2 linked regions of the Neodiprion lecontei genome follow. The protein of the gene in region 2 interacts with the protein of the main gene of each other region in a pairwise test. Links are inferred from orthologs where the notes say so. Each region holds a gene or a part of one and is shown on either strand. Other genes may lie near its edges.

Region 1 (4,582 bases), on a different chromosome or scaffold from region 2:
ATGTTTCATGGGAAATTTAACCCAGGATGAATCCGCCTGCATTTATGCAATTCAGGGTGCATTTGACCGATCAACGTTCATTCTATGGTCGGAGAAAATGCGAAATTTAACCAATCGTGTAAAATGAACAAATTTCGATCGGTAAAATGTACCTTGAATTGCATAAATGCAGAGAGGATTAACTTTGTGTTAAATTGCTTCTCAGACATTTTCACGAATCTTTCCACTATATTTGAACAATATTTCTTCGCAGCGTTTGGCAGTGTGGTTATAGTACACTATAACCAAATTCACTAATTTACAGTGTGGCCCGTTTTAATCTAACTGCAACTTTATTAATTTTGAAAAAATTACTTCTGAAATGCGAATGAAAACCGGTAAAACGGATTTCTCACAACCAGGGATTGATTTTTGTTCTGTTTCAGCAGAGAAATCCTGACTTTTTGTTTCATTTTCATTCAACTTATCTTCCATCTCTCAATTTTCAAGCGTAGGGGAGATTTTAGTCTTGAGGATTACAACAGGCCACCCATCTCATGAGGCTTGATCAACTGAATTTAGTCGTCCTCTGTGCGTTGGAAGTACCTGGCCTCGATTCGCTTACACAAGTTGACCAAGGTCGGATAGCTCTTGACGATGTTAGCCAATGAATTGTTAGGCAGTGGTGTCGTAAGGATGGTGAAGATGTGTCCAAAGGCCAGAGCATCCAGTTCATTTGGACTGCTATAATTTCGAGATCTTATCTTAAACGTTGTTGTAAGTTAAAATATGAAAGAAATTTGAAGGACCTGAAAGTGCATGGAACTTTATTGCACGTACTTGTAGATAGTAGTTTATAATAAAGCTCTAAAGGTCTACCACATGTCTTAAACAATATCGGTACATTTGACAATTGGTGAGAATAAAAATTGACTATCAAACTACCAAGATTTTAACCAATTACAAATTCTTTTAAATCTAGATGGCAGGTTTCTTCCAAGGAATCATTCTTTTCATTCGCTTTCAACATGGCGAATGAATCTTCTGTGAGAGGGAAAAGGGATTCAAGGGATCCGGTAGAGTTGCAAAATGAATCTTGGGACATGGTATCATGCAGATACACTTGGCCTACAGAAATATCTGATTCCTTTTTGAAATAAAGAGTGTTCACCAATCGACAGTGTTCAATGAGCTGCTGGAATCTGCCTATTGTTGCAGACATTCCGCAGACAGAGGGAAGGAAGGGTGTGGTGGTTAGGGCATGAATGTGGCCATACACTAAAGCATCCAATTCAGTTGGCCTTGGGGGAAAAAGAATTGTAATTTAGGGATGGTCTTAAATATCAATTATCTCGCATCTTTTTTGTACTTCCAATCATTTTTATGATTGCCACGAAGTATTTATATTCCGTATCAGCTGAATGTAAAAAATATAAGTCAGATACTCACTCATCACCAAAGAAGTAAGTTTTTCCTTCAAGCCTTTCGGCAAGTGCTGTGCAGCAGTTTTTGACCTCACCGAATACCTCGTCAAGACTTTTATTGTACCAGCCCAAGACATTCAGTTTCTTTGTAATCTGATTTTGCTTTTGCCAGTTAAGAAGATGATTGAGAGGCCAAGGATAGACACTGCCGTGCCTGGGCTTGGTGACTGAAATCAAGGTGGCCTGATCTACCCAGCAAACATACTGTTCAGCATTAACTAGCACATTATTAACAAGCGATATGTAGGCTCGCATGTCAGCCTTATCAGTTGCCCCAAGCTCTCCAGAAAGACTAGAACCCTTGCTGCTGATGAAAGACACGATCGGGTCGAACTCCGATACAAGGAAAGCCCCACATTGAATAAAAGGGACTCTTCCTGAGGGAGACATGTACTCCGCATTGCTTCTCGGTTCAATTTGGAACTCCAGACCGCACATTTTTAAGTACGCTTGGACCGCCAGGCAGTTTGCATTGTCAGGGAGCAGAATTTGCTCGACCTCATATGGCTGATACAATTTTATCGGCTGCGGCCAAGGCTCTTGAGCTAAGAGTAAATAGTCGGAGAGCAAAATTCATAGATAATTTCTGAGGGGTTCAAACAGGATTACATAAGGTTATGTTAGGTTACGGTTAGGTCAGTTTCTGTTACCAAGGCTAGGTTAGGTTGCAACGGGGAATTGATATACTGGATTTGAGTAAAGTTTGACTAGGTTTGATTACATATACGTCATATTTTACAAGAGTTAAGGTTCGTCGTGTTAAATACAGATTCTGCCACGATAAAGTGGCAACGTTGTTCTGAAAGATAACCTGAGTCAAGTTAGGTTAGGTTAGGGTAGAGTCGAAGCACGCGTAAGATCTCAAGAGGTTACGATTAGTGTCTGAAATTTACCTCCTAACTCCATCGCTATCGTATCTGAGAGTAGAACGTCTGGCATTATGACAATTATTTTGACGGCGATGAACTTACTCCGTTTATTAATTTAGTCAACTAAGTAAAAGCGGGCTTCAAACTGCAGAAGAGACGTGAGTCTGCGGCAGGTCGAGCTATCGAGTTACTGAATCGAGCGGTCGAAGTATTCGTTAGATGTGGGCATTTTTGAAGTTCTACCGGAAGGTGATAATGCAGTTTGTTTACTAAAATTACCGTGAATATCCAGATATTTTTCACCGCAGATAGCCATGCACCCCTGCGTCGATGCTAGAGAGTCATCCTGCTATAATGAAAAATATGTTCTGTAATCGAAAAGTCGGGATAGGACCAAGCTGACGTTCGATAACCTCTTCGCAATCCACGGCGGAGACAAATGTCTGTATAACATGCTCCCCGAGCAGAGGGTCCTTTGTTTTCCTAACCAGTGTTTCGTAAACTTTTGAAAACATCTTTATGAATTGTTGCGAATTGAGGATTTATTCTGAAAACAGTCGATTTAGAGAAAATTTATATACGCACACCGCACACTAATCGATCACAGCGCTATTTCAAAAATTAGATATGTCAGAACGACCGCTGCGGATCAAATTAAGTACTCGAGAATCATTCCACGAAAATTTTCAATAAGCTTAACCCAGTCCTCTAATTATCAAGTAAAGGTGATAGAATAAACCTCAATGATTTTTCAGCCCCTTATGTATCCACAATCTTCTGATCCACGAGTGTTGGGGACATCGCGTTTGTACGAATTTTGACCAGCTGGTATTCAGCTGCGTGTAAATGATGCGCGTCAAGAGTTGGATCAGGGGTCTGCAGTACAGATCGAGCGCCCCAGACTTCCTCTTTCAAACGAAGCAAGATGTCGAAACGAGGTGAGCCCGAGTTTGGGCCGAAATAAATCCGCAATAATCGGCCGTTTCCGAGCGAGACGTACCGCGTTTGAGTGTTTAGCGAACGTGGAAGATACGTGTGCGTCATGCGAAACGTATACTTAACGTTATTTGTGCCTTACGATGAAATAAGATGCGTGATAAATACTTGCCGCCTGTCGACAACACGATACGACGCGACGTACGTCTTGCTCCGGAACACGGGAATAACCTAACAAACGGAGACCACGCGATCCTCATGGATGTTTATCAACTTTAATATTTCTGTTTAAGGACGTGGTGGTTCCGCTGGAGCTAAATTCAGGATATCTCTGGGTCTACCTGTTGGCGCAGTTATCAATTGTGCTGACAACACGGGTGAGTTAGTCCAAATCGTAAGTCAATACTATGCGTGTCCACGTCCTTATTCCAACCATTCGTCCATATCATCATTCTTCATTCTTCACATTCTTCTTTTTCCGATATGTTCGTACTTGATGAAATTATACGCAGTTCATCCTGTTCGTGATTCACCATTCACATTGATCTCTGCGCGTACACGATGAGATGCACATATTAAAATTTGCTGCGCTCATGCCACTATCTGTTGTGTCTCTTGTTTAATCTAATCGATATATCTTTTTAAGGGGCCAAGAATTTGTATGTAATCGCAGTACAAGGAGTGAAGGGACGTCTCAACAGACTGCCTGCTGCAGGGTCCGGTGACATGATTGTTGCCACTGTTAAGAAGGGAAAGCCCGAACTCAGAAAGAAAGGTTCGTTTAACTCGATACTGGCTTAATATGTTCATCTGACAATGTTCAGTTGTTTTCGTTATCATGAAAGTCGACTGCAAAGCCATGCTGTTGCCCAATTCAACGCATGTTCCAAGTTCTACAAGTGTCTGTTTTAGGTTAGGTGAACACTTTTCATTTACGTTTAGTCGTGCTGTGTCTTTGTATACATGGATACTATTGGCTTAAAAGATTTGCGTGAAAATTTGACTTTATGATGGAGTAAAAAATAATTTTTTTTTATTGCAGTTATGCTTGCCGTGGTGATCCGCCAGCGTAAGCCTTTCCGGAGGAAGGATGGGGTATTCATATACTTCGAAGACAACGCAGGTGTTATTGTGAATAATAAAGGTGAAATGAAAGGCTCAGCCATCACTGGCCCAGTAGCTAAAGAGTGCGCCGATTTGTGGCCAAGAATCGCCTCCAATGCCAGCAGCATCGCCTAAAATAACACCTTGTATACCGTTGACTCAATAAATACCAATTTGGACTCGTCATCGGTACTTTACTTATTTACTGTT
Region 2 (5,700 bases):
GAACGAATATTATTGGAATACTTCTTTGATTATGGCAAACCGTAGTAATGGTATGTTCATTATAATAATATTCCAAAGCAATATGAATAATTCCCATATAATGTAGGTACTACACGAATCAGTACTCATGTATTTGATTTCATCTAAATTTTCAGACCTCAAGAAATTATTGTTTTCATAGTGGGCGGTGCGACTTATGAAGAAAGTCTCGCTGTGAATAATTGGAATAAACAAAATCCAGGAACAAAAATAATTTTAGGTGGTACGACAATTCACAATTTCCAAACGTTCACAGAGGAAATTCAAAGCGCTACTAATAGTATAACAAGAAGATATCGAAGTAGGAATAACTAACTAATAAAGCTTCAACAATACTGTAACTAAATATTTATTTGCATTACTTTTCACTGCTGTTACACTTATGTTGCATAAAACGTGTCTCAAGCTTCAAGTACACAATAGTTAACACTGGATAATGTCTGTATCTGTTCCGAATTTGCATTAGTCAGTGATATGTAAGCCATTCTTTTTTATTTTCTTTCATAATCATTGGTCCGTTTATAATACGTTGTACCGTGATAGTAACTGTTTTTTTTATGAAAATTTATCTGAGTAACTTCACCGTATAACTGCAAATATTGATTATAAGTCTAAACTAAATCACTCGAATAATCTCAGTTGAAAGAAACAGCTAGTGATTTAAAAAGTTGTGATTTACAGTATTGAACGACTACGTACTAGTTTGCGGGTAAACATTATTCGAAAATAACGGCCATTTATTAACATCTTACAATTTTTATTGTTTTCACTTCTGGAGATTAAAATTCAATTTGATATCGAAATACTACTCATCTCTAGTGTGATCTTCAAGCATGTAGTCCGGTGGCCCTTCCAACATCCGGTCATCATTTCTTGTTACCTTCAACAGATACATAATGTTTTTCGCAAGTGATTATTTCGCATAATATTGGAGTAAGTGTGGTGTTAATTTGAAAAGACTTGTATGAAAATGCTCAGTTCGTTAATAGGGCATGTCTAAATTACATACCAAAACACCAGGTTTCTTTGTTTGATACGAATCTGTCAAGTGACCATAACATTTTCATATTTGGATGAGAATTTTTCGTTGTACCTACCGATTTCACCCATAATTTCATTCTATTCGGAATCTGTAAGGGACCTCCGGGGTTTTAACATTATGACATTGATTATGAATTGACCTATATCAATTTAGATCTATGCTCACAAATCCTTTTTTCGAGCCCTACTGATCCTTAACGATTTGTTGTTCCAGAAATTCTGTTGTGATGTGTGGGAGATAATTTTGATACGGAATCAGTCAATAGCTTTTACAATTTTGTAACATACTTAAACACAGATTAGATCTTCCTTTTCAGACACATCCATGCAATTAGCTAAGACGAACAATTCTTGTTGTAAGTTTTTAATTGGAATTCACACAAGTTATAATGATGAAATTAGGATTGGTTAACTATGTGAGATAAAGGATTTGTGACAATGTTAAAAAAACCATTATCTTAGCAATTATGAACTGAAGATCAGTGAGATCGAGATCTCATAGTATTAAGAATGGGTGTAACAGACTAGTCTAAAGCCTCATTTAATAATATCATTCACGTAATTTTGTGTTTGTATAAATCTTGGACTAGTATCTATTAATAATTTATGTGTATATCTTGGAGCTGTATTTAAGAGTGCTTTAATGCAACTTATCCTTACTTACATACCTCAACAATGCCGGTGGATAAAGCATAACCGACCATGGCTACAGTAGCAAAAACGCCAGCAAGGAATTGGTTTCTCTTCTTGTGGGGAAATTCGTTCTCTGAATCTCTTCGCATTTTTCTAACACTTTCTTCAGCTTTTTTCCTCTCATATTCTTGACATATGTCCGGAAAGTATTTCTGAGATATACGAGTTACAAACTTGACTAAATTTGTGCAGGCTTTGAGGTGATTTTGCAATGCAGGATTTGGCAGTGGAGCTTTTAACAAAGGTGCAAGATATGAATAGATTATTGCATCCAGAGACGTAGGGTGAGGGCCAAAGAAATACTCTCTTTCTCCCAGCCGAGTCGATAACAGTGTCAAGCACTTCTGTGCTTCAGAATACACCTGCAATTTTAGTTGATAATTACTGAAGATGTGCAAATAAATAAATACTAGCATTTGTAAAATATTTCTATTTACCGCATTTTCTATGGCACTGATTTCGCCTTCAGTTGGGTACAGCGATTCCATCATGTTCCTAGCTTGTCTTTCAAATTTACCAGGGTAAAAGAAATTCAAAGGAAAAGGTAGTGCTTTGGCGTACCATGGCTGTATGAATTCATTGTAATTCTTTACATCAACCCACCTGTAACATTTGAAACCTAAAATTAACGTTTAGGGCATTGATAATCATATGCACGCAAGCGTGTTTCTGAAGCCTATGAATTAACATTTCCCACTTACTCATTCAGATCTACGAGATGATTTGACATGATTGTTGTCTGCACAGTTAGTAGGTAATGATTATTATTTTATACTAACCAAACATATTGCAGTGCCGGGTAAATTTTCTCCTTAAGCATAGTATCATATGCGACGACCTCAGCGCATTGTTTAGGAGTAAGACTAAAATCAGCTGTGTAATTCTTTTTTCGAAAAAATGCAGTTATATCTTTCACTGAGTCTAAAGTCTCGCTACCACATCGGAGAACAGGTAGTGCACCGTTTGGTGTCCGAAATGGATTATTAGTAGGATTTATCTTGAGCGGTACTCCACTAAATTTGGCATAGACCTACAAAATAATTATTGGACATGTGAGGAAAAAATACCTGTGAGAATTTTGACGTAAAGTTTCAATACAAAGATGATTATCAATCTACTTAAGTCTTTGAAGAAAAAAAAAAGTTTGCCTGAGAACCAGTTAATTACACAAGTATATAACCAGTAAGAGGAATAAAAATTTCTATCAATAGATGACAATACAAGGTACAAAGTGGAAACATCTAGATCAAGTTGAATTTAAACACCTGAAGTTCTCGCTGTTGTGAAAACATTGATGGTAGGGTACGATATTTTAACTGTGTATAAGATATTCTGGTTGATTATTCAGCAGGTCAATTTGAAGATGGGATTAATAATCAAATCTTGAAAACTGCGATGTGATAAGAAGCTTTTCTGTTAAAATAATGATGCGGAATAATGCAAGTTTGATGATCATAACCTTACTAAGACTGAAGAACATACCAAAATATTTAAGCACTTAAGATCGACAGAAGGAAGGCCCCAATCCCCTTTCCAGACGTCTAGTTGAAACGACTCATTCATTTCGAATTTCGAAAAATCACAAAAAATTGACAATTAAATAAATATATTACCAGTGCGTGATAAATGTTTTCCAATCGCACGTGATTGTCCTATGTAAACATGACAAGCGCCAACAACGACGAACAGTGAAAAAAAAGAAATTTCACAATTTTTTCGCGATTGACTGTTCGAAATCCCATCCTGGTAGGTAAACTAGTTGATAATATAATGTTAATTTGGTTCATGTTCAGATACGCCTGCACATCAGGAAATCAGGAAACTGAAGCTAGTCTCGCGCAGAGTATATGTATACCGCATTGTAATCATATTTGTATGGTATACTAAAAGCTGAAACGGAACTATGAAATTTATTTAATCCACAATTACAATCTGCAAATCAAGTACACAGGTCTTTCTTGTGTAGCTTTCTTGAAACACTTGCTTTCCTATGGAACTTTAATATGAGAATTTTTTTTTTAGTGCTTTGCTGCTGAGTGAATAATAATATATCGTTTCATTTAGAAACTATGTACTAGTATTATTTGAAATCAAGTTTGGTAACAAAGATGCGACTGTATAATTTTTTACCTACATGATGGAAATACATAACTTCAGTTATTGAACCACTAGAATTCAAAAAACGAATGCCCTTGTGATTGCTTTTTGTTTGAACTAACACCGTCAATTATCAGAGATTGTTTTAATTTTAGGATGAAATGAAACGGCTCGTGTTCTTCTTGATAATTACTTTCTAGGTTTATTATTATATTTATCATGTATATACATGCTTATAGTTGCCAATAGCTATTATATAGACACGCCTTATAGATAATGATTTGAAAACATAATTGATTCATTCGGAGGTATTTTTCAGAGGCACAATCGATTATACTTAGAGTACATATCTCTGCATATTTAAAAAAATTTCTATCCATTTTTGATACTGGTTTATTTTCTCATCATCATTATGATTTCGTATTATTTTTTGTATACGTAATTGAAATTATGCAGTCAAGTATGCAACTTAAAATTGATTGACCTCTGACCAATTATATGACCTATGCTTAAGTTGGTTTCAAAATGTTTTTCACTAATCAAACACATGCTGATATTACATTTATATAGAGTTTGCGCATTACAATAATCTGGTAAAATATGATTTAGGATTTATATACCAGGTATTTCATGAATACTAGTAGCAATTATTGATAACATACACTCATATGGTAAACAGAAAGAAAAAATTAAGAGATAAAAATAAAACTGACCAATCAATAACACCGCATCTTTGAGTCCCTTTAATTTTTTTTTAGCACGAGGTCAATTGGAATACAGTACGTAGTACAAATAAAAAACCAAAGTAGAAATAAAAAATACTAGCAAGAATAAACGTTGATACATCTTTTTTTTATCGTTTGATGTTACAGATAATTCTGGATAAATCTTTTGGTACGAAGCAACATGCTGTCATGTTATTTAGCCAACTGCCTCAAATTATAAATTTATATTAAACGCGATACCAATAATAAAATTTGATACTCAAACACGTGTTGAAGATATTTCAAGATTTCTTTTCATTCAAATTATATGTCTAGTAGAACATGGGAATAAAATGAAATTAATATAGTAGACATTCAAAAAAGGTATTCAAACTCAAAAATAAAATAATAATAGCTTAGATGTGATTGAAGAAAAGGAATATGTTTACTATATTGAGTTGTAGAGAGCAAGAATTGTCTTGATATAGTAATTCATTATGTGTAGTCGTAGTGACACCAAAAGTTTTTCTTCGAGCATTCTTTTTTCTCTTCTGTGTCACCTAAAATGACTATTATTATTTTTAAAACCAAAGTTCAGCTATCTACATGTAATGCGCGTAGTATAATGTAATAATTTTGTTCAAATTAAAAACACATTTATGGTAGGTGTATATGACTAAGAGTTATGTCTAAGTTATAGTATTGTACACTCTTTGTTGCTTATATTATTAATATTATCAAAAAATTAGACTATTTGGTGTGTCAATTGCACGCAACATTATGACTGTGTATGGTAATTATTATTATTATACAAATGTGATCACGATTCAATAATGACTGTGGTATTACACTAATTTCACTGTTAACTAATAAGCAATCATAATTGTTATGATGCAGCTTTTGTTCAACATGTCCCGCAGTTATTAGAAAGAAAGTAAATATAATTATCATTAGAGATTACGGGTATTCGGAAAAAGACAGATCAATTAGCAATGCGTTAACAAATTGCTGCTTCACACCAAGCTATCCTGAACGTAGGTGATACTACATTAGCAACAAAGTTCTACTTTTGTTATAAGAAGATCCAGTCTAATTAAGATTATCTGACCTCTTGCTGTTCACACTG

Evidence for each region.
Region 1: the proteins of metaxin-1 (region 2) and metaxin-2 interact in a two-hybrid assay, tested with the Drosophila melanogaster proteins (2 studies listed by BioGRID). The link is inferred for Neodiprion lecontei from reciprocal best matches to the Drosophila melanogaster genes CG9393 and CG8004.

Annotation. Positions count from the first base shown.
Region 1 is NC_060264.1:31,956,076-31,960,657, forward strand, and holds metaxin-2, read right to left. Parts: upstream 2,529-4,582; 5' UTR 2,403-2,528; coding exon 2,357-2,402; intron 2,009-2,356; coding exon 1,429-2,008; intron 1,281-1,428; coding exon 932-1,280; 3' UTR 747-931; downstream 1-746. Other genes in the region: 60S ribosomal protein L23, read left to right, coding at 3,258-3,270, 3,562-3,645, 3,915-4,043, 4,311-4,507.
Region 2 is NC_060265.1:18,722,674-18,728,373, forward strand, and holds metaxin-1, read right to left. Parts: upstream 3,394-5,700; 5' UTR 3,337-3,393; coding exon 3,256-3,336; exon of another isoform or gene 3,066-3,255; coding exon of another isoform or gene 3,039-3,065; exon of another isoform or gene 2,804-3,038; coding exon 2,553-2,803; exon of another isoform or gene 2,377-2,552; coding exon 2,211-2,376; exon of another isoform or gene 2,136-2,210; coding exon 1,749-2,135; exon of another isoform or gene 920-1,748; coding exon 845-919; 3' UTR 515-844; downstream 1-514. Other genes in the region: vacuolar protein sorting-associated protein 45, read left to right, coding at 156-354. UniProt on the Drosophila melanogaster protein: Involved in transport of proteins into the mitochondrion. Essential for embryonic development.